4 linked regions of the Lepisosteus oculatus genome follow. The protein of the gene in region 1 purifies or fractionates together with the protein of each later gene. This does not show direct contact. Links are inferred from orthologs where the notes say so. Each region holds a gene or a part of one and is shown in the gene's direction. Other genes may lie near its edges.

What was found.
Region 2: the proteins of smurf2 (region 1) and smad4b purify together in Homo sapiens (affinity purification with western blotting; 3 studies listed by BioGRID). This does not show direct contact. The link is inferred for Lepisosteus oculatus from reciprocal best matches to the Homo sapiens genes SMURF2 and SMAD4.
Region 3: the proteins of smurf2 (region 1) and tgfbr2b purify together in Homo sapiens (affinity purification with western blotting; 3 studies listed by BioGRID). This does not show direct contact. The link is inferred for Lepisosteus oculatus from reciprocal best matches to the Homo sapiens genes SMURF2 and TGFBR2.
Region 4: the proteins of smurf2 (region 1) and tgfbr1b purify together in Homo sapiens (affinity purification with western blotting; 8 studies listed by BioGRID). This does not show direct contact. The link is inferred for Lepisosteus oculatus from reciprocal best matches to the Homo sapiens genes SMURF2 and TGFBR1.

The regions. Positions count from the first base shown.
Region 1 is NC_090704.1:45,615,631-45,623,677, reverse strand, and holds the start of smurf2 (E3 ubiquitin-protein ligase SMURF2), read left to right. Parts: upstream 1-5,041; 5' UTR 5,042-5,585; coding exon 5,586-5,637; intron 5,638-8,047. Other genes in the region: kpna2 (importin subunit alpha-1), read left to right, coding at 1-191, 1,016-1,249, 1,674-1,856, 2,086-2,235, 2,482-2,571. UniProt on the Homo sapiens protein: E3 ubiquitin-protein ligase which accepts ubiquitin from an E2 ubiquitin-conjugating enzyme in the form of a thioester and then directly transfers the ubiquitin to targeted substrates.
Region 2 is NC_090698.1:14,987,496-14,994,647, reverse strand, and holds the start of smad4b (mothers against decapentaplegic homolog 4), read left to right. Parts: upstream 1-4,098; 5' UTR 4,099-4,284; intron 4,285-7,152. UniProt on the Homo sapiens protein: In muscle physiology, plays a central role in the balance between atrophy and hypertrophy. When recruited by MSTN, promotes atrophy response via phosphorylated SMAD2/4.
Region 3 is NC_090705.1:41,081,775-41,089,807, forward strand, and holds the start of tgfbr2b (TGF-beta receptor type-2), read left to right. Parts: upstream 1-5,012; 5' UTR 5,013-5,483; coding exon 5,484-5,559; intron 5,560-8,033. UniProt on the Homo sapiens protein: Transmembrane serine/threonine kinase forming with the TGF-beta type I serine/threonine kinase receptor, TGFBR1, the non-promiscuous receptor for the TGF-beta cytokines TGFB1, TGFB2 and TGFB3.
Region 4 is NC_090701.1:24,416,502-24,423,641, reverse strand, and holds the start of tgfbr1b (TGF-beta receptor type-1b), read left to right. Parts: upstream 1-4,087; 5' UTR 4,088-4,142; coding exon 4,143-4,212; intron 4,213-7,140. UniProt on the Homo sapiens protein: Transmembrane serine/threonine kinase forming with the TGF-beta type II serine/threonine kinase receptor, TGFBR2, the non-promiscuous receptor for the TGF-beta cytokines TGFB1, TGFB2 and TGFB3.

The DNA.
Region 1 (8,047 bases):
CGGCTGTGCAGCAGCTGCTGCCCACGCTGGTGCGCCTGCTGCACCATGACGACCGGGAGGTGCTGGCCGACACCTGCTGGGCCGTGTCCTACCTGACCGATGGGCCCAACGACCGGATCGAGGTGGTGGTGCGGACCGGGCTGGTGTCCCGCCTGGTCCAGCTGCTCGGCTCCGGAGAGCTTCCGATTGTGGTACGTCTCGTCTTCGTTCGTCCCCCACGGACTCGGGACGGCTTGTATTCCTTTAGACCAGTGGTTCTCAAAGGCCTGTGGTCCGCGGACCACTTACACTAAGTCACAGATGCAGTGGACCATGTATGCCTATGTCCCCTTCTTACCCTGTAAAAATCACCTAGGAATGTACAAAAAATAACCAATTACTTTTTATGAAAAGTACAAATTTTTACAAACAAAGCTGTATATTTTGCAAGTGGTTATTACAGTTAATGTGGGGAAAAACTGAGCTGCTTTTCTTGAGCAATCGGAATGGCTGGTGAAACCCCTTGAACCTCCTACTATAGCTTGCAGTTCTTAACAGTGCTCCTAGGGGGAGCCCCTTTGTAGTGGACACTACACCATTCTTTCCTCCGACTTTAAGAGCTTAGGCTTGCTTTAAGAGATTAGGTCAGCTCCCGAACCACTGGTGGTCTGCGGACCACACTTTGAAAGCCATTGCTTTAGACTGTGGGCCTTGTTAAAAACAACTGTCATCTCAAGGGCACAGGGCAACACAGTGGGTTTAAAGATGGCTCCTCCTGTTTTTAAGTTTTGGGGTTTTTTTTTTGCATTTAAGGTTCTTGCAGATTTATGTGAATGTCCTTGCGACTGCTGTAAAGACAACTGAACTGTTCTGGTAGCTTGTGTTCTTGATCTCTTGTGGTGGTATTACAGGGGTTAACTGGTGCATGCATCTTGCACAGTGGTTGGTAAATGTACCGATGGGGATCTGTCCCTTGCTTACTTGGTAACTGAAGGTCTGCTTGAATTGTAAAGCTTATCTACCCCCTTCCCTCCAGACTCCCTCACTGAGGTCAATCGGCAATATAGTGACCGGCACGGATGAGCAGACCCAGATAGTGCTGGACTCCGGAGCTCTGGCCATGTTCCCAGCCCTGCTGAGGCACCACAAGAGCAACATCCAGAAAGAGGCCGCCTGGACCCTGTCTAACATCACCGCCGGGCGCGACACCCAGATCCAGGAGGTTGTGAACGCCGGGCTGATCCCGTACCTGGTGGAGGTGCTCCAGAAGGTGGGTCGGTGCTGCCCCTCCCTGTGTTGGGGCTTCCCTCTTGAGGTCCAGTTGTCTGGGTTCTGTTGTAGCTACTCTGACCTGTTCACCTGCTCAGCTGTTTGTACCAAGAACCATGGACCCAGCACCAGATTAGAATGACTAGATTGCTTTCTTGAACAAAACTAGCCAAAGTTTTGCCCCAAGTCATCCAAGAGTGCCCTTGCCCCAAGTCATTCAAGAGTAAGCTGGTGTTCTGGGGTTCTTTGTTGGCTCTGAAGGAGATTATATTTTGGGGGGGTTAACAGCTTTGGCCAAAAGCTCTGCTAAATCTTGAAATGCAAAACCTTTGTCCACAACTATAGGGCAGTCTTTTTTTTTTACTTTTTAGGTATCATTTTAAAATGTAAATCTGCGTTTTTCTTATCCTGTTTACCCCACCCAGGGTGACTACAAGGCGCAGAAGGAGGCTGTCTGGGCTATAACCAACTACACCAGCGGGGGGACAGTGGAACAGGTGGTGTACCTGGTTCAGTCCAACGTGCTGGAGCCCCTGCTGAACCTTCTGTCCACCAAGGACAGCAAAACTCTCCTTGTGATCCTGGATGCCATCTCGAACATCTTCCTGGTACGTGCTGAGCTTTGGACCTGCCTCTGAAGTGGTACGACTGATGTCCCCTGATCTTGATTTGTTTAGTGATGTGCATGTGGGGAGTAGTGCAAGCCAGGTGGTCACCAAGGGGCAGATTGCGATCTTTGCTCATGCTTGGCGATGGTGTTGAGTGCTGCTCCCATTGCTCTTTGGTGCCCCCTGTTACTGCCACTCTTAACCAGCGGTGTGTGGGCTTGTCCTGAAGGCTGGCGAGAAGCTGGGGGAGGTGGAGAAGCTGGCCGTGATGATCGAGGAGTATGGAGGCCTGGATAAGATTGAAGCCCTGCAGTCCCATGAGAACGAGATGGTCTACAAGGCTGCCCTACACCTGATCGATAAATACTTCTCTGGAGAGGTGAGCATAATATACAAGTTTTGGGTTTTTTTGGGGGGGGTCTGGTGGAATTTATACTACTGGTGTTTGAAATGCGATGCTTGTCTGAAGAGGTGCCAGTTGCACAAGCCTTGTGGGCTGGTGTGGCTCGACTTGTGACGACGAGCTCGAGGTTCACTGGGAGAATGAGAGGTGCCTTGTTCACTACTTCAGAACATGCATGGGTCAGACCAGCTTGTACTCATCTCTCTCTCTCCTCTGCCACAGGAAGAGGAAGACCAGTGTGTTGTTCCTGAAGCTACGACTGATGGTTATGCCTTCCAGGTCCAAGATGCTGAAAGCACTTTCAACTTCTAGAGTTTTTTTTATGCTGTCTGTCTTTTTTATATGTGTAGCAGTGTTTTCCATGATGTATATAACAGGTTACTGATGTGACTGTCAAACCTTTATTGTATGAAATGTAAATAAAGTTTATTAGATACGTCTTTCAAAAGTGTCTATCAATGCAGCTTAGAAGGACTGATGTTTCCACTCGTCTGCAATCTGTGCCTTTGATCTTCACAATGAAGCTGCACCCTGAGCTCTTGGCTCTGAAGTCCACAAGGGACAAGTTCTGGTTTCTGCTGAAGTCCTTCATTATCCCTGAAGGATAACACTTCACGGTTGATGGTGATTTCTGGACGGGTAAATTGAATGAGACTAAATGCATCCAGTTTCATGTTTGTGAGCTATTTTGACAACCTGGATTAAGGAACAGGTAAACGTTTATTCCATAATGAAAACGTCTTGGCTGTGGAGCCTTCTGGTTCTCTTGCGGTCTACACATCTGCCTACTCGAACCACAGTTGAGGGGTTTTTCCAATGGTTAGTCTATGCACAGGGAAGCGGTTTCTGTAGGATATCTGAAAGATCCAGGGGAATTCTTGCACCAGACTACTGTAAATTGTCTGCTCAGAACTCTGGTTTTGTATGAAAAGCAAGGCTGGGCCTGGCCTGGCCTCTCTTACTCTAAATGTTTTTTGGAGATCAATACGTGCTCTCCTGTCTGCCCTGGAATTTCTGAAGTAGTACCCCAGTTTGAGCAGGGACTGCTGTGTTAGTCCCTTCAGTGAGTTTTAACCTGGTCACCGAAAGGCCCAGGGTGCTGTTAAGAGCTACAGGGTGTGAACTGGTGTTTTGATTGTATGGTGCCTGCTAGCCTTCGTCTCCCCTTAATTTAACTGGTGAAGTGCCTGCCTGCCCTGTTGTGTAGCTGGGCTGCCACTGGAGCAAGGATGACACACCTGGAGGTGTTGCTGCACTTCACTGATGGAGAAAATGGGTCTCCAAGGTGTTGAATACAAGGAACTGGACCCGACCGGACTGAGGTGTGCTTGCAGGGGGAGCTGGAGGCAGGATTCCTGAAATCAGTTTAAGGGAACAGGACGTCCCACATGCGGTAGAGAGGTTGGAGTGAGCAGGTAGCAGTTAACTCTACGACGTGTGGCATTTCTTCAGCCTTAGGGTGTCCACGGAAACGTTTTTTTTTCCTTCAGTGTTTCAGCGTGTTATTGATGTTTGCTCCTGTACACTACATTTTAAGAGACATATCCTGTTGGTGTTGCAAACCAAGTTCTTTTTTTCCCCCTCTTGTTATGGTCAGCCGTATGAGCAACTGATTTCTAGTGGTGAGCGGTTGAAGAAGGCTAAGACATCTCCCCAGATCCTCCCTGACTTTTACAGATGCACTACAGAAAGCCCCACTGACAGGTTGCTTCACAGTGTGGTATGGCAACTGCAGTATTGCTGACCACAAAGCCCTACAGTGGGTGGTGAAAACTGCCCAGTCCATCACTGGGGTTGCTCTCCCATCCATACAGGACATTTATGACAGACGGTGCTTGAGGAAAGCTCTAACATTATCAAAGACCCCACACACTCCAGCTACAGACTGTTTGACCCTCTACCATCTGGAAAACAGTACCGGAGCATTCGGACCGGACTACCAACCTCAGAGACAGTTTTTACCCCCGCACTATCAAACTATTAAACTCCCAGCCACTCTCACCTACAATCTGAACCCTCACAGTGCCTTCCCTCTTCATCAAATCCCAAACACACATTGAAATCTACCTCTACCTCACGTCAAGAAGTTCACTCCCCATAATTTCCTATCCTTTATTTCATTCTGTTGATGTATGATTTTGCACACCTGTTGGTGTTTTGCACACTGCCTGTTGTCTCTGTCTTTCTTTTCTCATACAATTGTATTGTTGTTGTTTTTTGTACTACTTACCGACTGAGAGCTAGCTAAATAGCATCTCGTTATATCATATACCAGTGGTAGTAGTTCAGGTGGGTAGTTCAGGTGGGTACAGTTCACCTGAAGAAGGCTCCACGGCCGAAACGTTGTGTTCTCTTTCTTCTTTTTTTCAGCATGGAATAAACCTATTACTTGTTCATATACCAGTGTACGAGTATAATGACAATAAACTTGAACTTGATGCTATTGAACATCACGGAACTTCTGGATTGGATGGAAGATGATTGTGCAGCTACACAATTGAAGTTAACCGCGAATGCAGCTACACCAGCGTGCGCCATCACCGATACGTGTGCATCGTGTAGGATGACGGGGAGCCCGATGCAGGGGGCTGCGGGACGTTCGTTTTCGGCTTATTTTAAAAAGAAAAATCGCGTTTGCACAGTCGCGGGACCCGATGCACGTCTCTGTAATTTCGCAAGAGCTGCCGGCGTCTGTCTGGAGAGGTCAGCAGAGAGCCGTCTTGCGGAGGAGGAGAGCCGTCTGGGGGAGCTGACTGGGAAGAGCTTTTTTTTTATTTTTTTTTCTTCCCAGCGTCTTGCGCGGACGCGCACACACTCCATTTCCACTCTCACTCCAAAACCGATCCCGGTGGGAAAGAGTGCAGAGTGCCGCCGACGTCCTAGTGCGTCCGTCTTTCCCGGAGATGTAGGAAGAGAAAAGTGCGCTCGAACGTGGCTCGCCTTTTTTATTATTATTATTATTATTATTGCTGCTGCTTTTATTCTGCAAACAGGACGCGGCGGCATTGGGGGGGGTGAACCTGTGTCTTTCGGGGGAGGCAGGGAACATTTCGCGAGGACGCCGCGCGCGAGAGGGGGTGCATTCCTGTCCGCGTGAGAGTGGGGGGCGCGCGTGTCGGCGCTGGTGAAATAATGGTAGCGCGACGCACATCCGGGCCACCGGGCCGTGACTCCATTATTCAGCCACTGTGAAGCTGGCGAGCAAGAGAGGAGAGGAGAGGAGGAGGGAGGTTGGAGGGGGGTGGCGGAGGGGAGGAAAAAAAAAAGAGAGATACTTTGTAAATATTTTCTAGCGTCGCAACTCAAGCTGGAAAGCGGCGAAGGACATGTCTAACCAGGGGGTGAGGAGGAACGGCCCCGTGAAACTGCGTTTGACAGGTAGGTGGCCCCCCCCGTTTTTTTTTTTTAGAGGAAAAATAAATGGCAAGAAAACAAGAAGGTCGGGAGCGCCTGGGCTCTGCGCCCCTGTCCCCAGCCTGGACGTGTCCGTGTGAAAGGGGGAGTTTTGCGTTCCTGTGTTGTGGGCGAAACGGAGCCGACCGTGTGCTGTCCGCCGTGGCCCAGGGGCTCAAGTTGCCCACTGAGCGCTGAGACACGGCGGCTCTTGCAGGGGAGGAGGGCGGCGGTGAGCTGCCCTGGAGAGTGCTAGCCGTTGTCGTGTGCCTGGTCGTGACTGTTGCTGCTCCTGCTTTGAAATAAACCCGGGGAACCCGTCCGGACCCGAGCGGTGTGCGCCGTGCGCCAGCAAGTTTGTTCGCCCGGGTACTCTGCCTTTTTAATCATCGAATCGTGTGACGCGCTTCGGGGTTTTTTTTTGCATTAAAAACGTCCAGAATGGAGCCCTGTTTTTTAAAAAATGTTTTATATGCAGTTTTGTAAATAGCCGAGGAAGGAGGGAAGTGCATTTGTTGTCCGGCTAATTTGTGTTGAAACCGATCGGTTCTAAAACTGAAGAGAGCCCTAGGTGTAAGAATTGTTTTGCTTGAAAGTAATTCCTGGAGAACAGCTTTTTTAATTACATTTCTGGAAGTGTGGTCTGTTCCTATTTTTTTTGGGAGGGGGGGGGGGAATCTTCTCTGGATTAAAAAAAACTTAAAGTTGTTAAGTTTTAAGGTTTCGCTCTTGCGTGGCCTTAGAAGTCAAATAGAAACTGAAAAAATATAAGCTTAAACTTGATAACGACTTTTTAAAAAATACTGTTTGTTTCCGTCCGCACGTCGTGCTTTGTTTAAAGAAAATTAACGACGATTAAACGCTTCCTAAATAACATCGTTTAAGATGTGGAGGTGTTTGCCCTCATCGTTTTTCCAATGTTATTTTTTTTTAAATTAAGAAAGTTCAGTTAAGTTCAAAGGTTTTAATGCAGTTTTCTGAAACGCTTATTTGTAGTAGTTCGTTCCTACTGCTAGTATGCAGAGTAGAACTATCCCTGTTCACCCTCGGAGATCAGCTTTTAAAACAAATAACTTTATGGATGGGTGGCTTCTATGTATCTTTGAGAAGTTTGTAGGTGCTGGAGATGGAGACTGATGTTTCTGGTCCCGTTTCGCAATGGTTCCATAATATCTACGTGTTTCAGTGGTTGTTAGGGGGGTGTGGTTATTACAGACGAAATGTGTTACTGATGTCCCAGTTTAATATGCCATTACCGCTGATTTAATGTCTTCAAGCGAAGCAATCCGGGCTTCAAACACAGCTGAGTTTGAAAAGTATTCACGTCGTGCTCATTTCGAAAACATCTGTTTGCTTTTGAACAAGGACGTCTTCTTGTGAAGACGCAAAGTGAGGCGGTCTCGGCGACTCCGAAGTCAATAAGAAACGTTGCCTGCAAATTCCTAATAGTTTCTCTAAATTCTCTAAACTCTAAAAAAAAAAAACAGTTTACCGACAGTACCATGTTTTGCCAAATAAGTACAAAAAACAGTATCGACAAAACGAAAGTGTTAGATTTTGTCGTACTTTGGAAGTACTTTTTTCTCTTTTTAAATAAACTGAAACGTCTGTACGTTGTAACGATTTTTTTAAAAGAAGTGTATATACGCGCTTGGCTTAGTCGAGTCGGGATAAAGACAGAAAAAGTTTATTCTGGTAGATCTGTTGCAAGACGAACTTCAGCAGACTCGTCTGTGGAGGTCTCTCCCAGGCATGAGGCTGGTCGCTGTGAATTGTCTACTTGATTCAGTTATTTTTGTTTTTCCAAAGGGGACCAGTGTTTCCTTAGCTACCGCTTTAGTTCGACGGTTTATTAATAGAATATAGTTTTCGATTTTTCGATGCCAAAGAAGGTATTGCACAAGGTTACGAACGTGAAAAAAAAAACATTCTTGATCCCTGACGTAAGGGAGGCCGAGTTTTAAAATGAGTTCCATGCGCTCCAGAGATCCTCTGCTTCAGAAGGACTATTTCATTTTACATTTTCGTGTAAACGGGTAGGCGATAGAGCGTGATTGTTTTATTGCTGAATGATATCGGGAGTGAACGGTTGATTTATTTGGGGGTGGGTTTAGGTCCTCTTGGCTTTCTTGGCCGGGACGTGTTCCGGGGTGGTTCTGCTGATGGACTGGTAAGACTCTGACATGGCCTCTAGGGCAGGGAGGACAAGCCCAGAGGTCACCTGCTTGTCTGGGGGTCCTGCAGCGTGGTTGTTTCCTGCGGACCCCCTCGCTTCTGGAGGAAGCGATCCCAAGGGGATCTCATGGCCCGCAGCGAAGGAGCTCTGGGTGCTGGGAAGGGGAGGAGTCTTCCCTTTGGAAACCAGCATGATTCCATTTCAGCCCTGGTTAGCCAG
Region 2 (7,152 bases), on another chromosome or scaffold:
TCCTGGTGTCCTGCTCCTTCTTTGGAGACAACATGACAGTACAATCACCACTGTCCACTGGAAAGCAGGCTTGCTCAGTGCTCGGTATGTCGGCATGGCTCATCAGACCCTGTCCTACAGATGCTAGAGTGGGAGCACCATGCGATTCCGCTGAATTATTTTGAGGGTGGTTATTTTAGTATGGTGGGATGGGGCACTTATTTTGTATTTAAAAGTGGATCTATTTCATGCAATAAAAGTTTAATTGATCGTACTCTAAACCTGAATCTGATATCAGTGGAGGTTAAACTGGGTCTTATCTGTTCTAATAAGTGCTACTTTTCTTGTTCCTTCAGTGCTCGTGTTTATCAGGTCCAATGCTGCTGCTCCTTTTCTCTCTTTATGATGAAATACCAAGCTCACCTTGGTAATGCAAAGGGTCTTCAAGACGATATCTAGCTTGAAGCTGACAGTTAAGGTCTTCCCCCATTAATGTTAAATGGAAGTGTAACTGCAAAGCGATGGTGTTTCGCGGTGAAAAGCTGAAATGAATGTGGGTGAACCAATGTGGTGTGTGTGGGCCTGCTTTGAAACCTTTTTTACTTTAAAAATAAAAACGGTCTAGCTTAAACTGTTTGAAATGGATTTTGCCAGTGGGTGCCCTTGTGAGAACAAGGCTCCTTTTAGTGTGGAATGCCATGTAGCCTTCACCCACATTAGTGACTCACGGTGTTGTTCACCGGCAGCAGAAACAACCAAGACAATATGAGCGTCTGAGATGGGAGAGCCTGAGGCAAAATGAGAGCTTCTTCCAGAGACACAGCAAGAAGATGTGGTGGATTAGTATAATTATATGCTTTGAAACAGTCAGCCATAAACTGAGTATATAAAGCATCCTAATCCCCCTCTGCTGCCCTAGTGGCCTCTTAGCCTAGATACACTGTTCAAACTGTGAGCCAAGCTCTGATTCAGTTAAAAGAATGAGTACAAATGTCTTATAATAATAATAATAATAATAAACTTTATTTTATATTTTATATTTTAAACTTCTAAAATATCTCAGGCACTTCTCTCAACAAGCAACCAAGTAACGACACAATCTAAATTTTTGTGTTCGAAAATCAATGGCTCACAAATCTGTAAAGGAAAAGAACTTGAAATGCATGACCCAAATACTCTTAAGACTTTTTGTAACAGCGCTATTGGTAGCTTTAGTGAGAATTTCAGTGGGAACTGAACTTAGCTCAAAAACAAAGAAGCACTCCATTCCTCTTGTGGGAGGCATTCATGCAGTATTTCCTTGACATGAGTTTTCTCAAAGCCTCATGATTTGGCCTATAAATATGAGAATTATGGAAATACTCCTTCAGAATGTGTAAAAAAACATTGCACATGAATTCTTTCCATAACATGCATGTACATGATAAGAGATACATTTGATATCTGTTTTTCTCACCTGGTGTAAAGATATGAGGAGTTACCGTCTGTATGAAATTATGTTAGTTTTTCATTTTGTCCTAAGACATGAACTGTAAAACCAAGTTAATTTATTTTTCTCTATCTTTAGTAAATGCATCAGTTTTCTTTAAATGCTTTAATCACTGTTTTCCTCTTTGTTCAGTTATTACTGTAAAAAAATACTACTGCCAAGTCAGCATTTTTGTCTTATTATTTTATGAGATCCTTTAGAATCAAAATATTTGCAATACTACAGTGGTATGGCCATGTAATGAGATGAGATCAAGACCTAATAAAAGACGAAGTAGAAGAGGGTATTGAGGGAAAGAGGCCACGAGGAAGACCAAGAATAAGCTGGCTTGACTCAGTGAAAGAAGATAACGGTAAGGCGGATATTGATGTAGATGCCTGGAGAGACAGGATACGATGGAGGAGGCTAGTGGGCGAGGCAATGGACTGGCTTGGGTTCGAGATGCCACCTCAGTAAAGTGAGTAGAATCATTTTTATGCTATTACACTCTGATAGTCAGGAAACCCTTGTCTTCTGACTATATGGCAACAGAAGGCAGAATATCAAACATTATGTGGCTTTAGTGAAAAGCAGCATTGTGGAAGAAAGGAACAAGTAATAGGCTTATTCCATGCTGAAAAGAGAAGAAAGAAAACGCCTTGGGTGTGAGAGAAGAAAATCTAATTGTGGAAGAAATCCTTATTTTCTGCACTGTGCAGTAACTTGCAAAATCTCTAGATTGCCAGTCACTAAAGGTTAGACTTTTAGGCAAAAAAAAACTGGAAAATGTGCACCCTTTCTTTGTAGTTCAGCTCCATTTTTAGATGGTCCAAACAAGGTACTGTTTCACTTACTCAACATAAGTACACAAAGCAATTTTGGACCTTGACACATCAACATTCTTTTATCATATATCAAATATATACCTATATATTTCATTTTATATCATCTCATCTCTGATACAATTGCCAAACAGAGGTTCACAACTGGTTTGCAAACATTGTACCAGGAGGATATGCAAAAAGACGGAGATCCTACTCTGGACAGCCTAAACTGCAAGCTAAACTTTTCATGGTGTCTTTTTGCAGCAGTGAAAAAAAAACTCATGGCTGGTACTGAGCATGAAGTTTTAGGATTCAATATAGGGTGGGTGATTACATTATTAAATTGACACATTACTGACTTGCTTTTGATAATATGGGTTAAGTAGTCAACAGAATCTTACAGTGAAAAGATCCACATTTAAATCAAAGAATGTTAAAAGTGAATGATATGTTAGCACATTTAGAATACTGTGTTCGATTTTGCAGTAATCGTGTCAGAAAAAGGTAACTGCTTCTTGGAAAGACTTCATAGAGTGATGACTAGGATCGTTCCTGACTGAAAGCATGTCTCTCTCTGACAGATCAAAGTAGCAGAGTCTCTTCAGTCTTGATAAGAAGAGGCGGGATTGACCCAAGTATTTGAGGTCTTGAAGTGTACTGATAAAGTCACTTCCTGTGGTTTACTTCAAGCTCAGCAGTGGCACATGGAGCATGAATAGGCATTAACTGTAAGTCAAGCTTAAGAATAAACACCGCTGGACTTTTAATGACATTTACAGTATATCTCACTGCTGCTGAAGGGGCCAAACTGCCAACTAGATCCTAGTCCCTAGGATCTTCCAAGAAAAGGCTGCTTTCAGTTTCATTAAACAGAAAAAAACATTGAAACAAAAAAATACAGAAAACATGAAGGGGTAATGACTTGCATTAAAAAACTAGAGGGCGAGCTTTAATGAAGTGAATGCCAGTGCATTTGTCTGTTAAAGACTTCAAGAAACATTCTTAAAATGGTCTAATTTAGAAGATAATTTGGTTGGTGGTTTCTTTGACTACTCAGATTCGAACAAAAATCTCCAGGCCCTGGGAAGAACCTGGAATTCAGCAAGTCCTTGAGAGCAATGAGACCCCAAATCCGAGGCACTGAATCCCTTGATATTTCATTGCCCACTATATATGACTTACTGTCAGGTTAGTCAACATCAGAGGTCATGGTAGTGTTGGGTGAGAAAGGTGCACGCAGACGACAGATTTGAGGAACCAATTTAAGAAATGTTTTGATGAAAACAAAATGATGGCATGGCTAAATACAGGTGCTCAAGACTGCATGTAGTGCTACAATATAAATAACAGAAACAATTGACAGTCCTGCACTGTAACTAGAAGAATTTATCACGCAACCTAAGGCCTAGTGTTAAAATTTGTGTAGTTATAAAATTACATTCTCTCATCTGATTAAATCTAAAAGATTCACATTTATTTAATAAAAGCGGAATGTCAGCACTCTATGCAAGAATGCTGCTTATCATGCAGGATCTACTTCTGACAATTATCCTTACCTGCTGTTTTTATTTTTAGATATTTTACATCACGAAGGTATGTGAAACATCGCGAAGTAAGAAGCACGCATAACACGCAGTGCCCACTCATGTTGTGTCTAAGTGTGTTTTTGCACATTGCCCATAGCTCGCTCCAAGAAAGGGAGCGACTGTTACGCGCCATGGCCCGGGTATCGGCGTGAAGTCACATCTCCTTTCTGCTGGGTCCTGAGTGGGCGCCGATGGTGCCAAACAGCGCTGGAACTGCGCACACACGCCAGGCCGCTCCCCGCCGCCCAGTGCGCAGGCGCCGTGCGCCATGTTGATACAGCAGCACCAGCGGCGGAGGCGGTCGGATGGAGGCTCCGTGTGAGAGGGGTGGATTTGTTTTTTTATTTTGTTGCTCGCCGTCCCGTTCAAAGGCGCACGACGATTCCTAAACCCCCGGTGATACCGGATCCCGCTTCCCCTTGGAAAGGTGAGGGACTGGGCCGGAGCGGCCCGCAGACCGGCGGGGAAGAGGAGTATGGGGAGGGGTGGTGGAAGAAAGGAGAGCAGGGCGCTCCGCCGGCGGGGAAAGTAAAAGTTTGTGTTTTTGTTCTCGGCACTGGCGGGCCGGGGCGAGAGGGAGAAGGGTTTGGAGGCACAACAGCGTCCGTGGAGGGGCCGCCGTGTGCCGGCTGCGTTGCGCGGCCCTCGCTGCTGTGAGCCGAGGCGGCTCGGGGGTGTTTTCGGGGTAGCGGGGTCGGGCTGTGCCGAGGCGCTGCTTCTGCCCGCTGGGGCGGCGGGGTGTCGCACCGAATAGCGTCCGGCTGCACACGGCCCCCTGCGGGAAACGGGACTCGCTGTCAGGGTGTTGGAGAGCTGGGGTTGAGCTCCGGGAGTGTGTTGTTTTTTTGGGGGGATTGAAGAGGGTGGCGTCTTGATCTGTTTGACTCAACGCACCTCTCCGTCGGTAAGATCGCTCCACACACTTGCGCTTTTCTCTGCAGCTGCGCTCCTGAAAAGCGGGCGTCCCGGCTTCGGATGTGTGCACGGTGTCGAGGAGATACCCCGCTCGCGTTTGCCGAGTTTAGGGGTTGTATTTTCCCTGCCAGCCGGTTTAAATGGGGGAAGTAATATTGTGCATTCTCGTAGCTGCTGTTTCTCTGGGTACAGCTTTTCCCACGCACGGAGCGCTGTGGTCCGCGTTCACTCGTGTGCTGTCTTGACGTGCGGGATCAGACCGTTTCCAAGACTTCGAGGTCCAGAAGCTTGTTCCTGTACTGCTGTCGGTTAAAAATCGATCATCTCTTATTATTTAATTAACAGTTGAATTGCGCGTTCGGTGCAGTTTAGGGAAAGGTACCCAGTTAATGCAGGATCTTCCCGAGAGTGACATCTTTCCAGACGTACCTCTGTTGTGCTTCCAAATCGTGTAGTGGACTACCGGGCGGCGGTCAAGTTTGACGTGCTGTACAATTCAGGATGTTTCATAGCGCTACGCGTGTCCCAGAAAAACCTAGAGCGAATGACTGGCCCTGCTGGGGTCGTCCAACACTTGGACTCCGAGTCCCAGCTCATTTTGTGTTAACCCTTGGGTGACAAACGAGGTGTCGTAGCCTTGGTTCAAATCATTTGTAAGAGACACCAAGACATTTCAGCCCGTTTCCACACTCTCCCCCAAGTGGCTTTGAAGCCTGTCTAGTGACCTGAAGGGTTGCTTCACTGAGCTCATTTACTTAAAGAGGACAAATTCAGCACACTTTCCAAGCCTCAAGTGGGACGAAGTGGGGAGCTTTGGAGAGGACTCCTTGGGGCAGGCAAGTCCTGCTTGCTTCTCTGTGCCCTGCTGTTAGGAATCAACGTTATGACTCCTGTTTTCTAGCATTACGAGCCCTTTCACGTTATACAAGCCAGTGACTTATGCATATAAGCCAGTAGGCGCTGAATATTTCGTGCCACTTCGTTTGCCTTCATTTAACATTGCCTGCATTTAACACTCTTCAGCTGTAATGGTGAAGTGCATCTTTTTTTAAGTAGTAGTAGTTAATTCTTGTCAATTTTCTGTAATTTACTGGCCAACACTTTACATCATAAAGGAAGTGTTAAAATGTCACCCCGTGTTCCCATGATGTTTTTGTTTTTTAGTAACTTGCTGTCCGGTGGCTTTTGTAGGACGTACATCCTTCTGTTTTTGTTAAACCTTCAGTATTTCTCCTCAGAGCAGGATTTGTTGAACGTCTGCAGTCCCTGCCTGTGCATATCTGCCCACACTGCTTGTTTATAAGCCTTACTGGAAGGTCTTGGGTAGAAATTGTGGGATGGGTGTGTAAATCTTTTTTCAAGGGCAGATTTGGGAAGAATCTGCGTGCTGGAAACTGGAGTTTTGATCTTTGTGCATATGTGAATGGGGCAGGGTCTTCGTGGCATGATTTGTCAACATCGGGTGAACTCAGTCTTCTGGTTACTACCTGGAATTTCTGTTTTTATTTTCATTGATTTAATTGTTGTGTATAATGTTTTTTTTTGTTATGGTTTTACAGTTTTTAGATCTTATTTTGTACTTGCTATCAAGGCATGGTTTCAGCATTTTCCTTAGTCATCGCTGTGGTTACATTAATTCTATTCCTGATCCTTGGTAATGAATGAGAACTTTTTAGAGTAGAATTTTTTCTCTGAGTTTTGTGGTAAAGAATATTGTGCTGCAGACGTGTTAACCAATGTGACTGATGGAAAATGTACAGTCCTTCTGTTTTTCATGGTCAAAAATGTAATTATGTAGTTCAATTAAATAGGACAACACAGTGATACTTGGAGTCTATTGAAATAGAGTACAAGGCAAAGTAACAATTCTAGCAGATGAACAGTAAGATGTAGAAAAAAAAACTGCTCCTGGTTTATGAAACATTCTTTTTGGTTTTTTGTAGCACTGCTCATGTGCATGTGCTGAGCATAGGAACTCTGACTTGACTCTCCGTGTGTCAGAGTTCTGTTTGGGTCTTCTAGTGAAGAGGAGTATCTTACTTTTGCTTCAGTGTAACTGTGTTTTTTATTTTGTCAAACTGTGGCATTAAGCAATATCCTTCTGCCACGTGTTTCTGTTTACCAGCTCCTCTGTGTGTGAACGAGTGAGAATGAGGCGGCCTGTGCTAAGCACAGTGATTCATCCTTGACTCAGTGACTTCCTCTGTGTATTAATACCCAGTTGGGTTGTTCACCTCCAGTAGTAGAGGGCATTAATAATTGTCGATTCTCCGTCAGTGCAGCTTATCACTGTGACCTCAAGCACAAGGCGAGTAATTTGTGAATTACTCAGATCCATTTATTTTTTGCTTTTATCCAGAGTGACGTAGATATATGCACC
Region 3 (8,033 bases), on another chromosome or scaffold:
TGTGAATGCTTGGACTACTTGGTGAGATACAGTAAGTTTGGCTTAACGTGCTAGGTTAATGGCCTAATTGGCCGCCTGCTGGCCACAGGACGAGGAGGCTCAGAGCCCTTTCAGAAGGAGTGACCCAGGAGCTGCTGTGAGGTGGAAATGGTCTGGAACAGGCAGGCTTGAGATGAATACGAAGGGAGGCATTCAAGATTAGTATACATGGCTAATTTCATAATGATTGCGATTAGGTACAGCTGCATGAGACTGACTTGTCCGTGTTATCCCTCCCGAACTTCGCTTAATAACTTCCATATCATATGCTTTTGTGCAAGCAGAACATTATTTGCAGGAAGCTGTGTACCATTTGTGTTGAAGCTCCACTTTGAACTACCCTACTGATGCCTGAGCTAAACCTCAGAACAACTGAAAGGCTCCCTGGTTCTATGACTTAAGCCTGCTGGTATGTCACTCCTTTTGCTCATTCCACAGTCTATACATCTCCACAAGCTTCATAAACTAATGAGTCACAGGGAGCTCGGATCAGATGAACTCAGTGCAGGTGTGTGGGAGTAAGTTGCTATTGCTAGATACAACAAAAAGAGGATGTCTATAAACAGCCTCTTGTTCTTTGAAATGTTTCATAATTACTTGTTTATTTGAAGTGAAATATGCAAGTGTTATTGCATACATTATACTGTATATATTTCCAAGGCTGTAGGTTTTTCTTTCTTGTTTCCTATTACATGTTCTTATAGTCTTAGTAGCGGTCTGCTTGGCTGCCAAGGGACTTTCCAATATGTTTGGAAAATTCCTCCACATAATCTGTAACATGAGCATGTAAAAAGCACCTGGGCTTCAGTATTTTTGAGCTGTGTTCTGCTTACGTATCATTTGTGGTATTGATGATGCAGTGGCATAGAAAGCTATGATCATGTAGCCTAGCACTGGTGCCACAGATAAAAAAAGGCGTTAGTAGCATCATCCGGGTCTAAAAAACATGGGGAATCCATTGAAAAGGCAAACTGGTGTGCCAGCTGACAGTGTAGTACTGTAACACAGAATTGCACTGGAGAAGCGATTAAGATTCTGGACTCCTTACTGGATGGATTTGGGTTCCAAGCCTTGTTAGGCAGTGCACGACAGGTACTTCTCCAAATTGCTCCAATTGAAATACCAGTTCTACATAAAGGGGCACAATATGTTAGCAACTTTACCCTATTTACTTTAAAGCACATAATTTAAAATCAAGGAATCTTCACATAGTATAATACATGTATAACAACAGGGGCATAAAAATCACAATGGAGAGCTGGCCTTCAAATACACTTTAATCCCATCCTTCTTGAACACTTACTGTAGATAAGATAAGATTACTATAAGCCATATACAATTTCTTGCATAAGGAATTTGTCTTTTCACATACCCCACCTTGCTCTCTGTGAGACACACAGACAGGGAGAGAGAAGCTTGGGGTCAGAGCACAGGGACAGCCATTTATACAGCACCCCTGGAGCAGTTGGGGGTAAGAGCCTTGCTCAGGGGCCCAACAGAGAAGGATTCCTCTGCCGGCCACAGGATTTGAACCAGCAACCTTCCAGCAGCAGGCACAGATCCTTAGCCACAGGCCCACCACTTCTGGGATGTCTCAAAACACATTCTGCACCTGTAGCCCACTGTCCTGAAAGTACTTCCCAGTTGGTCCCTGCTGGGTGGAGGACAAGGACGGGACAATCCAACAAGGGTCCTTTAACTCACTCATGCCTGTCAGAGGGAAACTTGTGTAGGCTCTCAGTGCGACGTCTGACAACCTTCTATACTTGAGAATAATTCCTACTTTGTAAGTGGTGACTACTGCTCATTTTCTGTTAATATATTTCTAAGCACCTGATGTGGTTTCGTATAAACATCCACCCTTTTCTCTTTCAGACTGAAGGCACGAAGATGATCCAGAGTCTCCTTACGGGAAGGACAGGTAATAACTCTAGTCCAATGTGTGGGGTGTTTACGTATATGGATACACAGAATTCCAGAGTGCATTGATTCAGAATCCATTCTTTTATCAATTATTCTATACTATGTCAGTAAACCATATAATGGACGACTGAAACACTACAATCATAACCACTTCACACACAGTGAACGTGCAAAAACAAGAATCTGCAAAACAAGAATTAACCTATTATTAAGATTATATTAAATTTTTTTGCCCACAAAATAATTTTGGTTGAGTCAAACAGTAACCAACTAACTTTTACAGTAGACGTACTGTATTTTACTACTAGACTTTTCTGGCAGGGGGACTTCACAAAGGTCACATTTTGAATGAGCTGTAAATGACTTAAATGAGCTTTGCTGTGAGAGTAGCTTCCTTTTTTCATGAAAGTGGGAAATTTGGCAGTATCGGAAAGGCCACCCCGCCCACCAGCAGTGTTTACTCTTCAGGCTATTAAAATATTACTGTGAATTCCTCATTCAATGGGTTTACTTTATATGGATTAATTTAATGGACAGATATTAGCCTTCTAGTCTGATCTGGCTTATTATCCTGCTGAATAACAAGCACCCACAATCGTGTGCAAAACTGTTTCAGGATTCCACACATTGTTTAAATGCTTTTCTTTGAAAAGGTTTTGGAACATATACAAGGGGGTTAAAAATATGAAGTTTAAAAATCATCAAATTGTAGCCTTACAAAACGTGAATCTTTTCATAATGCATCATACTGTTATCTGTATATTTTTTAGATATGTATAGGCTGCATAGGAGTGGATATGTACAGTATGTGTGTACTGATAATGCCTACCTTACTTTCATACAGTAATGATATTAAACTCTTTAAAACACTATAGGAGACTAATAGGCCTTCGTCACATGGCAAGCAAAAGAATGTTATTAAACACGTGCAACTACCAGCACAGTAAAAAAAAATCTCCAGCATGGCTTTAACTGAGATGAGAAGAACAAGAAGTAGCTCTGTCTGAACTTGCTTCTCAGACACACTGGACCTTTGTGTTACCTAGAGTTGTCAAAACTTGTTACGTCGGTATCCCGGAAACGGCGAACGTACAGTAAACATTTGAGGATAAAATAATATACATCGTCTTGGCAGCTAGTTTAATTGCAGCGTTGCAGAGGGAGAACCACACTTAGCCGTAAAAGCAGCATAATATATTTTTGTCCGCCGTTCCCGGTTTTAAAAATAAACATCACGTGCTAACACAAGGAAAATGCACAGTGTAATAGGGATGTACTGTACATCAAAACACAAAGATGAATAAATCTCATTGCTTTCACAGGACCCCTGCTATTTGCTTTAGCTGAAGACACCCTTTGCAGCACCCTGTTCTCATTCTGACACAGTTCTGCTAGAGCCTGCTTTGCAGAATGGATGAAAGAATTCAGGTCTTAAAACTGACAGTATAAAAACCAGCACATGAAATATGTTCATTTGTCTTGGCCGTGCAGCAAGGACGGGCTACTGTTAATGTTTGGGTGTGCTGTTGGAGCTATCCTGCAGACGAAAAGAAAGGATTGCTTCATCTTTCTAAGCAATCAGTAGTGTTTCTGTTCCAAATGCACGCTGTGAAGGCCCTCTTCACTTTCATTAGGTACCATGTGTTGTGACTGTCCTTTAACAATAAATTCTAATATCCTGGAATTAACTGAAAACCAAAATATGGGTGTATTCAGCAAGGGCTGTAAAAAAGGGAACATGGGGCCAGGCAGAATTGAATGAGCTGTTCCAAAGAGGTTGACAAATACCAAAACAGATGATTACTTTGAAGCACAGAGTGAAGTAGACACAGATTGAAATTAAGGAGGTAGGTATCTCTTAGTACAAAGGACCGTACTTAAACATAGAACCTCTTCATACTGTAGCAATTAATAAGCATTTAAAAATGTTGAGCTACACACAGGAATTCAATCTTTTCCCATAAAATCAGATTATGTGATACAGTATGTGTGAAAGAATCCACCGACTCTTCTGCTATCATGTACTGTAGTATTACAGTAAATGTCTTGCATACATTTCTTATTATTTTACAGTGGTTTTGACTTCCTTTTCTATAGAGTTACTAAAAATGATCCCTCCATTCAGCGATAAAGTATTAAGACACCCTCATACGTACTAAAAGTGGTTATGTTCAACAGGAGGAAAGCATCACAAAAGCATGCTAACCATTTATATACAAGTGTATAAACCCCCAAAATAATTTTTCAATCCTGTGTGTCTGTAAAAATGATCCCATCCTTCATTGCTATGCATTTAATGAGCAGAGGGAAATCAGTTTCCATTTTTTTCGCCAATATGTGAATATTCTAGATGCCACTTTGTTCCCCATTGTTGTTTATAAACAATCTCCTTTTGTTTTTCCGTTTAGATTTTAAAATGTATCAGAGAGCATTCCTGTAGGATGAGTGTGAGTCAAAAAAGACTCGCATTTCAAGGGACTTGAGTGAACAATACTTTTCCCATAGGCTTCAAACGGTTGTCAGTAGTGCTCTTAACACGCCACATGTCTTTTTAATCATTTTGTTTAGGTTTTCAGGAACTTTGCCTCCACTCAGAAACTTTTGTCCAGACAAAAAACATTGTGTGTATATCCCTAATTCCAAGGTGAAACGCAGTGTCGCTCTTTTTACCGACAACACGTGAGATAATAACAAGTAAAATAAAAAATACCTTAATTACATGTCTCCACCTCCCCCAGGAAGTGCATTTTCACCACTATCTTGCAGATAAACTGCTACTTAACAGAAAAATATTCGAAGAATATATGAAAACCCCAACCTGCCCTGGGATTTTAACCTTGTTTTTAAGTCCTGTGAGGAAGATCTCTGGTAACTAACCACAGGACTCATCGGGAGACACCTATTACTTGTACGGAGGACGTTAAACAAGTTAAAACTGCAATAGCTGAAAAGTTGTTTCCCTGTAGGGCACTGCCTTAAGCGCACCGTTTTAAAAAAAAAATCAATGTGATTTTTATGTGCTTAATTTTCTTTTAAATTGGAGCATACCGTCCGTCTAGAAATGCGTCCTTTGGAAACCGATGTTTTGTGTGTATCTGTCTTAAGCGTGTCATTAGGCGCTTGCCTCGACTTGAAGGAGAGTAAACTACAACTTCTAAGGGACTGACAGCTTCGGGAGAAAAAAAAAATTAGTCCTGCCCTTCTCTCAAAGATTTCCTGTTTCGCGAAAGAAGTGAATACAGTCACTCTCTGACTCATAACCCGGGGTTTAGAGTATTTTCATAGCTGAAGGCAGGCGCACAGAGTTTGAGACCAACATTTTTTTTCTCCAAAAAAAAAAAGAAGAGTTGTTTTCTTCGACTTTTCTTTCCCCACTTTGCAACAGAAGCGCACAACGTTGAAACCTTCAATTGGGAGGACGGGGGGAACATTTCCTCTCCGCTTTTGAAGGGCAAGGGAAGAGAGAGCAAAAAAGAAACATTTTAATGAAAAGTCAAGGAAAGGTATCGGTGTTTGTCTAAATGAACCGACTTCGTTTATCAGTCGTGCTGTGGAGCACTACCCTGTTCGCCAGCTCTGTGCTCTTCGGCCGGACGGGTGAGTCTTGTTGAAGGTTTTATTCACCCTTGAACTTCACCAATTTCTTTACCCCTTTTTATAAAAAAATATATTTTAGCCAGTCCAGTCGAGTTCGTTTTTTTTTTAATTGTTGTCCACAAGCTGCCGGGTCTGTTTGAGAAAGCAGCAAATAAATAAATAAAACGTTTCTTCTATCGCAGGGGGCTCGTTGTTGCAGAAGTACAGTATACGCGTTATTTCCTTATGTCTTTTGCTTTTGAAGGCTGAAAAGTTTTTTGAGGTTAAAAACTAACAGCAATGCGTACGGATATGCGCCACAGGTGGTTGAACTGTGAAAGGGCAGACGACCCCCCCAAAAATGAGAAATCATATTTTGGGGGTGTCTTCTGTTGTTATACCTGTAAACGTGTGTTGGAGTACTACGTACTGTATCTTTCTTTTTCTTTTCAAAATGATCTTGCAGCCACCAGACTATCAATCTTCAAGGTTAATACTACCATGTTTTTTTTTTGCCCATACGGAAACTGTATTGCACATTGTAGATTTCTTTATCTGCTGTAGCAGTTAATGATTTGTGCTTATATACAGAAATATAGTAACGTACATTTGGGAAATGGTGGTGTTTCTGAAATGTATCTGAGCACCTTGCCAGTTATCCGCTGGTAATGAAAGTGCTGTAACTGTTTGGGGGAAGTTCAGTTTTTCTTTTTCACTTGTCGGAATTTCTCTCCCATGTAAACGCTAATTGCATTTGTTCAGTTTAGATATGATATCGAATAGCGTGCTCCTTTTTTGCCATACAGTGAGTTATATCCGGATGAAAGTGGTGTTGCTGGGTTTTAAAGTTGAAGGCCCTTACTCCGGAGTGTGTGTAGATGAATGTACTGTATACGGTTGTCAGTGTAGTCTCAGAGGAAGAGCTATCTCCTTTACATTCTTCTTTTACAGCAAACCCGTTGTTTTGTACTGTGAGTGATCAGTTATTCGATTGTTTATATAAATATGATGAGCACTTAAAGCGCCTTAAAACAGGCAGCGTGAAAACACCAGTCGTGGATTAACAAACTGTACTGTAAAACTTAGTGGCGTCAGGATAGGTGCAGTATGCAGCAACTTTTTGCACAAGTGCCTGAAGCGATTTTGTGTGGGGGTAGCCAAGTATGTTTTGCACCTCGGCCTAACACTGCAACGCAGTTCGGTCTTGGAACAAGTTTTTTTTTTCCTCTCTCAGTATTGAAAACACCACTTGAAGTTGCAGAGTTTTCCAAATAAATTCTTGCTGTGCAGACAGAGTCCCACTTACCTGTTTGGTTTTGTAATGAATTTTACATTTATACATTAGTGGTCCATACATCCATTTTCTAACCTCTTTATCCAATACGGGGTCACTTGGGATCCTGAGTCTATCCCAGCAAGTTAGGGAGTAAGGCAGGATACACCCTGGATGGGATGCCAGTCCATCACAGGGCACATACAGACAAAAACACACGCACACTTAAACCAGGGTCAGTTTTTTACAGAAGCCAGTTAACCTCCTGGTATGTCTTTGGATAAGAGCACCCCGAGGAAACTCACTTAAACACAGGGAGAACATCCAGAAACTACTCTCAGGCAGCAGCCCAGGTCCAGAATTGATCCCAGGGCTACAGTGCTGAACTAGTGTACCCCTGTGCCAAAGCAATAGACCACATGAAGTCAGCAAATACAGTGCATTTTTCTGATATACCTTGTGCATTTTGAGGGAGAAAATTGTGTTGGTATGGAGTAAGTTTGCAAGTAGAGAAAGTGTGGGGGAAAAACAAGCTTTATCAGAAAGAGTTGTGTGAGACGAAATGTCAGTTTCTTTTGAAAGATGACAGATCCCAGATAGATAAACTGCTATTATATCCATGTCTGTAAACCTATCCTTTTAAAGCTGGAATGTGCTTGCAATTAACATGAGCATCAAATTGGATTAGTAATATTTCTTGCTGCATATAATTTTCTATTTATTGTTCTTTCACTAAATCTGTCATTATTACTTCTCATGTGGTTTTAATAGTGCTGAGTACTGTGTATGTTACAGAGGACTAATAATCTAATGACCTAATGTTGAAAATATGAGAGGTGTAGGAATTTCCTGTCAAAAGCTGTATAGATTGCAAAACAGTCATGTACGGAGAAAATATTTTGCCTCTCAGGCCTCGGAGGATCCAAGCAATAACACATAATTTCAAGAGCAGTGGTATGTTTATTTCACAAAAGGTGATAAGAAGGTTAAGTAATGAAAGAGTAAATCTCTGTAAATAAAGTGCTTTAGACAGCAGAGGGGAAAAAATGTTCTATTGGAAGCTACAGTGTGCGAACCGGTGAAACGTCGTGATCTGCAATGTACTGCATGTGAAGGCCTGTGGCAAAGGAACACCTATCTTAGCTTTGTGTGTTTTCACAGAGCCATACAATGTGTACAATACATCTGCCCTCCTGCTGAGATATTCAGAATGGCACCATTG
Region 4 (7,140 bases), on another chromosome or scaffold:
CACGAGCCTGCTCTCATGAGGGGAAGAGAAAACAATTGATGCAGTCTTTGAGAGGAGAGCTGCAAAACAAGCGTATTGACCAGATGATGGCAAAGCCCGAGGTCCTACTGAGCACTGAAGAGAAGAAAAAGGCTAAGAGAAGAGTGATCCAGATAGGACCTGAGGGGAAGAACTCCCTGGCTGTGGATTGGGATATAACCCAGAATAAGAGTAAGAAGAAAATGGTGGATTTGAATGCTGCTTCAAGAGTGCAGTAAGCGGACTAATGTGCTAAAAGAGAAACGTGAGGCCCTGCGGCCTAAACAGCAGCAAGAATACTGAAAACATAGATGGCTGTTTGCTGTCTGTTCTGTACCTTACATTGAGTGTGAGATGAAGTAACTGAAGGGATAAGGGCAACTCTGAGCGGTAACGACAACCTCCAGGAGAGACCAGAAAAAGCCAGGCAAGAGATGACTTCCCTCACCAAACTCCAGACTAGACTGAAGGACAGGGAGCCTGGGATAGAAAGCCTTCAAGCCCAAATCAGACAGGCAACTGCTGGTCTTTGTCAAACAGGTGCATGATCTTGAGACCAAGCTGGAGGATGAGTGGAAGCAGAGAGACATGGCAGCTGTCGCAGGGAAAAAGCTGGAGGGAGACTTCAAAGAAGTCAAGTGTCACATAAAGACTGCAAATCATGATCAGGACAAGGCTATCAAAACAGGTGCACAAGCTCCAGGCCCAGATGAAGGACTTCCAAAGGGAGATGGGAGATGCCCGCATTGTCGGGGAGAAAGTGCTGACCGCAGTCAAGGAGAGCGAGGAGAAGGCCAAGAGCCTAGAGGCTGAGCTAATGCAGTTACAGGAGGACCTGACAGCAGCAGAGCAAGCATGCAAGCAGATTGAGGCTGACAAGTAAAAACAGGCTGGAGAGCTGGCCAGCAACATTTTGGGAAACTCAGCACTGGCAGATGTGAAGTGGCATTTGGAAGCCAAAGCCTCCAATGGAGGAACTGTAAGAGAAGCAGAGCAGCATGGCAAGGAGAAAGGCTGAGCAGCATGCATAACAGCTAAACAATGAGCTGGAAAAGAGGAGGCCCTAAACCTTTTTCACAAAACTAACAACAGAAGCAGGTGTGGTGGGCAAAGATGGATGACTTTCAGAGCCAGATTGAAACGGCCAAATTAGAAAATGAGAAGCCAAGGGTGCAGTTAGCATTAATGCAGCAGCAACTAAGTAAATCATAGCAATAGATGAAGGACAGAGAAGCAGTGGAGATTTGAAGGGAGGTTACAGTCTTACCCGAATCAAGCCAGAGTAGAGCCGAAGACCACTCAGGAGTAACTGATCCAGGAGAGGGAGAGAGTCAAGATACCGCAGGGACATTTACAAGCCACATGAATGAATGGGCAAGTATGAGGAAAAAGACAAGCCTTTTTCAGAGAATTGCCAGTCCAAGACAGAGGGTGTCACCCATTGGACAAAGAAGCTACTAAGTTTCAGAGGTGAGGGAGAAGGAGCTCTCATCACCAGTGCTAGAGATTGATACGGAGGTCTCTTTGGGTGGAACGTTCAGAAGTACATGTAGATGTCCTGTGTCCTGATGATGACTGTGAGAGAACAAGTGAAAGTGGCTTGAACCTGAGGACAGGCAGCCAAATAAAGCAGAAGACGTGGAACTTCCAGATCGTCCAACAGAGAAAGAAACAGAGTTGCTAGAGAACCATAGACCTGCGCTAGAAGAGAGGGAGAGGTCGCCTGACCGACAACTAATTGAAATGGAAGAACAACGGTTGCAACCCCCAATGAAAGGGGTATTGAAGACTTTTGAGTACCCGGATGGGAGAGTACATGTGGAGCTACCAAGAGAGATGGCTGCCTCTTGAAGAACAAGAGCTGGAAAACCATAGGGTACATGATCCAGGGGAAAGAAAGTATGTCCCTCCCACCCTCCCCATTCACTTCAAAATCCAGGGGGATGTAGCCTTGGAATTGGCTGGTAATCTGTCGTCCAATGGCCTTCCTTATGAGGAGGGAGCATATGGGGTCCTCCTGTTGGGACCACATGAGCTGCTGCTCTCCATCACCTAGCCAGTTGCTGAAAAACAATTGGTCAGGTGACTGTTTAAAAAGCACGAAGAAGAAGCTTCCTGGGTCAGTTAGACAGGGATGTCTGCCGTCTGAAGGCCAGAAGGCAGATCCTCTGTGAGCTATTGACAGGAGGGAGAAAGACAGGCCATGGACTCAAGGAACTAGTGAGTTCTAAGAGTATTGTCAACATTCTTTATGAAATGAAATCCTTAAATGGTAAAGAGTCTCAGAGAGACTTTTCTAATTTGGCAATTTTATGAAGAGTCTCAGTGAGACTGTTTTAACATTTTTTTGTTTGAGGCTCTTAAGCAGTTTAACTCCTTGGCTTGGGTAATTAGGGACACTGAGAAGAAGTTTAGAAAGAAGCTCAAAAAAGTGCTTAGGCTTTTGTTTTGTTGTTTTTGATTTTCCCTACATCATGAAATAAAGCTCACTGGTGTCTTGTACCTTACAGCTGTGTCTGTTTGCCTTGACCCACCTGCTTGTTAAGATTCTGTTATGACACCCAACAGCTTGTCGCCAATTTTAATCAATCAATTTAATTAATCAAACAGAAAATATTTTAATCTCAGTTCTGACCTTATCTTTGAACTTGGATTTAAATTTCAGAGGCATACATAGTAATGCTGACAATACACCTGTTAATGCACATTAAAGATAGAACATATCTTTGGCAGATCATAAAAGAGGTCACTTCAATTGGCACTGGCAACATGGTTTAAATAAAAGACTTTTAAAAAGTTTGTACATGTAGTCATAAAGACAACAGCAGGCGTTAAATGTGTATCTTTTATAAAGAATCTGCATGAAATTGCAGACTCAAGTCCCTGTAAGACGAAACCGTGTGTTTTTAATTAGTTTTTGGGTCACTACTTCTACCACAATGCCTACGTAAGAAATGTTTGCAATCTGGTTTACAAGTCTACAAGTTAGGCACCTACAGTATGTTTGACAAAGCAGAGTATTCTGATTACTTGGTCTCAATATCTTGGACTGTAGGCCTTCCCTGGTGAGTCAGAATCGCTCATCTTCTTTTTGGCCAAATAACAAAACGGCTACAGCACAGTGTCAACGGTGTAACTACTACTGCTAAATCAAACAACGTGAATTTAAAGGATACACGCGATCATACAGAACTTTTATAAACGAGGAATAATGGTCTGGTAGAGGACGTCTCTAATGGGAATTTATTCCTTTCACTAAATGGATAATCGCATCCTCTTTACAATTAAGCAGATATGGATGAAGAAGTAATTTCAGCACTTCTGTTTACCAGATACAGACATCGTTTTTTTGCAGCAGTATATTTAATAAATAAGTCAGGTCTAGTTTACTGGTAAAGATTAAGTGATTACTCTTACGGGACTCAAATATTTTGCCAACCTGCGTTTCTAAGTGAATAAAACCGGAGAGCAAATTACATTTTTGAAAGTGTACATTTTAACTGGAAGACCTATCTGACCCCTATCCGTTTTAATGATATACGTTATTAATTCCTTTACTGACTGTTAAGAAAACGTCATTACTTGAGAGGGAATGTTTTTCTTTTACGATTTTGCTGTGCACTTTCACGGTAGAAGCAGTGAAGGAGTAAACAGTGGAACGGGGCTCAGAGAGCTGTACGGTGAATCATGAGGCCAGCTGGGGGAACCATGACCAAGCACAGTGACATGCATGATATAGAGAGAATACGTGCAAAATGCTATGCTTATCTAAGGAAGTAAATTCTCATAAGATATTAGACCTAAGTGCGTAGCCTGCTTAATCAAAAATAAAACAGTAATTCTGAACAATGTACAGCCTACGTTTCCCAGACAGGTTTAACGTTCATGTTGCTTAGCTGTAGCCCGAATTAATATAATGCCTATATCACTTGTCCGCGCCCTAGCACACTGCGCTAGGCGCTCGCAGCCGAGTGTTGACTTGCGGCTCCGCTATGTGTGTTGGCTGGTAAGAGCTGGGCGGGGTGCGGCGTCCTTGCCAGCCAATCAGGGACGCGATTTCCCCCAGCCAAGACAGCCGAAGTTGTGTGCGAGAGACGGCCAGTCTGGAGTAAATCTGAAACACAATGGATGCAGTTCGTTGTTGTTTAACATTCGTAGTCCTGCTCTTAGGGACTGGAGTACAGGAGACCGAAGGTAAGCGAGAGAGGGGGTGTGGTGCTCCTTTTTAAAAATCCTCAATTTGGATATTTCTTTTCTTCGGATTGAGTCTGGCGCGGGGTTCTCATGCCCGCTGTTGCTCTTTTGTTTCAAGACTCGTCTGCCCCGAAAGACTCTTGTCAAAGATGGCGCAGGTCAGAGAGAGCCGCGCTGTCAGGAATGTGTATTGTTAAGAGTGATTTCCTGACAAGGTAGAAAAAAAAATCAGGAGGGAAAGAGATCGAAAAGTCAGTAGCACGCCTGACGGGCCTGAGTAGAAAGCTACACGGCAAAGCGAGATTCACAGTGGCAAATTCATGTGCAGTCCGATGTGGAGTAGCGGTGAATTGATATTCCCTGGTCGGCAAATGTCCTGAGCTGGAGTCGAGTCGCTGTGTTTGTACTTCTCGGCCTTAATGATAATAGGTCTCTCGACACGTCGGACACTGACCCTGTCCACCGATGGGGCACAGCCAAGGCCTTCTCGCTTCCACAGTCCGGCATTTTTTTCTACTTTGATTGCAAGGAAAAACGCACTATTTACGTGTGTACATATTAGCATATGGTAAATGATTGTTTAGAAGCAGGGTTCTTTTTGAGAAATGCATATTTTGACTCTTTGAAATGCAGCTGAACTCATAAACACGTTGCCTGAACCCAGGCTTATTTACAATTGACATGCTACTGGTTAGCTGTTTTCTGTTGTCTTGTAGCTAACTGTGTAGTTGAATGTTTTGTGACAGGAGTTAGGAGATAAAAGAAACGCCTAATCCGTGCCTTTTGAAGTATCGGGTTTCGGGGTGCCTTGTCATTAACGAAATGTAAAATAAACCTTCTTTGTTTACGTTTCACCTTAAACACCTTGACGTAAAAGGTATATTGTTAGCACGAATCGAACTGTGGTTTGAAAGACCTAAAAAAGGACGGGTGTTGCTGTTGTGATATTTCGGTGTCACCAGCGTGTGATGGGAACAGACACAAAGACTTTGATGTTGTCACGACAGGCTTGCCCTGTAAACCACTGTAGTGCTATTGTTATTAATTGTAATAATCTCTGTGAACGAAAGAAACGGGAAAATATAACCTGTAGGCCTGCACGCCTTTTAAGGTGTCGCTCATGGAATAATTGTCTGGAGAAACAAACCACATGTGCTATGTCCCAGATTTTCAAGTGAACAGAAAGCAGTTTTTGTTTTACCGCAAACGTGTGTTTAGACGCGTCGTGCCACTGGTCTTTGATGTGCTTCAGATATGACTCCAGTGGTGGTAAAAAGTTCCTGCTCCCTTTTGATAACAGCTTTGGTTTTAATTGGGGGCTGCTTGCTGTCACCTGTGGTAATGGAAGAGAATTAAAACATTGAGATGCGTTGCGGGATTCTTTCTAATGGAATTGGGGCTTGTGACCGGTGAAACAGGATTTCCTTGCACAGTCGATGCGCGGATGAAATTAAGCTATCAGATTTGCATGACAATGTGCCGAAATCGACGCCCCGAAGCTCATAGCACAGCAGCTGAAGGAATAGTGTACTGAAATGAAATCTGAGCGTTTTAAAACTGTTTTGCAGAAACCAGTTGTGTTGTACAGTGTTTTCTTAGAATTAATTTCTCCAGATTTTTTCGTGTGGAGTTGAGTTATCAAACCTTGTAGTCCGATCCCTATAAATTTATCTCCAGTTTTTGAAGTGTTCAAGAGTAGTGAAGAATTATTTGTTATAACAGGTTGGTGCAGTGTTAAGCCCTATTATTTATGTGGTTTAGACAGACTTTAGGCCATTTTGCTTTTTGAAAACGTTTTTTGAAAATACCCTTAGCTATTACTGAAGAAGTCATTAATTTATCGGTATACATAACTTAACCTGCCTCTGTCCATATCGCCTATATTTGATATGTTGTGCACATACAAGATTTCAAGCCACTGGAGTTCTACAATTTAAGTCTTGTATGGCACCAGGCCTTCAGGTTCTATAGCTGTGTTTGACTATTGAAGAACAATCCCAGTTTGGTGAAATTTGACCAGATTAGACAATATATATTTTTTGTTTTTACCTTATAGCTCTCCTGGACCAGGGTGGGAAGTTCAGGTTCTAAATCACTAGTTACAGTGCAACAGTGGTTATTACCATTTAAGCTCTTTAATTGAGCCAGTTGAATTATTAAAGACATGGATAAACACAGACGTTAACCCAGTGGATCTTCAAGACTAGGACTAGCTACTGTTCTGCTGGAGCTTTGCAAGGATTTACGTAGGACTGTTTCCCAGTTCTCGTTCTGTTTGATGTCATTGACCGAGTACCTTTTCGTTTTTCTTAAAGAGTGGCTAGACGGTTACATACACACTTTGGCAGTGTGTTTATTTGTCTTCCATTTCCAGCTTGCTGGTGTTCAGTAGTGAGAGTAAAACTCGGGTTTCAGTCAAGTTGACATATGATGCTGCTTTAGCAAATAAAGTAATACGTGAGTCATAAGCATCTGTAGACTGTTCTGTTTGCATGAAAATGAAAATAAAAAAATAAAATCTAAATATAGTTAAAAGAGTAATTATTCATGTTCTCATGGAGTTGAGTGGGGAGTGGGGGGGAAGGAAGGTTAAAACCGTTACTGGTTTTGCAAGCTTGTTTTGTACGTGGTAAATACAGTAGCTCAGCCTTTTGGCTAGTAGAATCCAGAGCATTCAAAGATTTGTATGACCCTGAACTGCCTGTTGTCCAAGCTTAAGGAACCAAAACTAATTTGAAAAGTTGTATATATGCCAGTTGTAATTGGATTCAAAGGCATTGATGCATTCAAACAGCCCTGCTTCAGTCAGATTGAGAACTGGGCTGTGAATCTGGCTTGTTAAAGTTAATACACAGTTTAGTTTCCTTGAGGGATTAGATTTTGCTTCACAGCATTCCCATGTTTTGGCTTGTATTTTGGTCTACACAA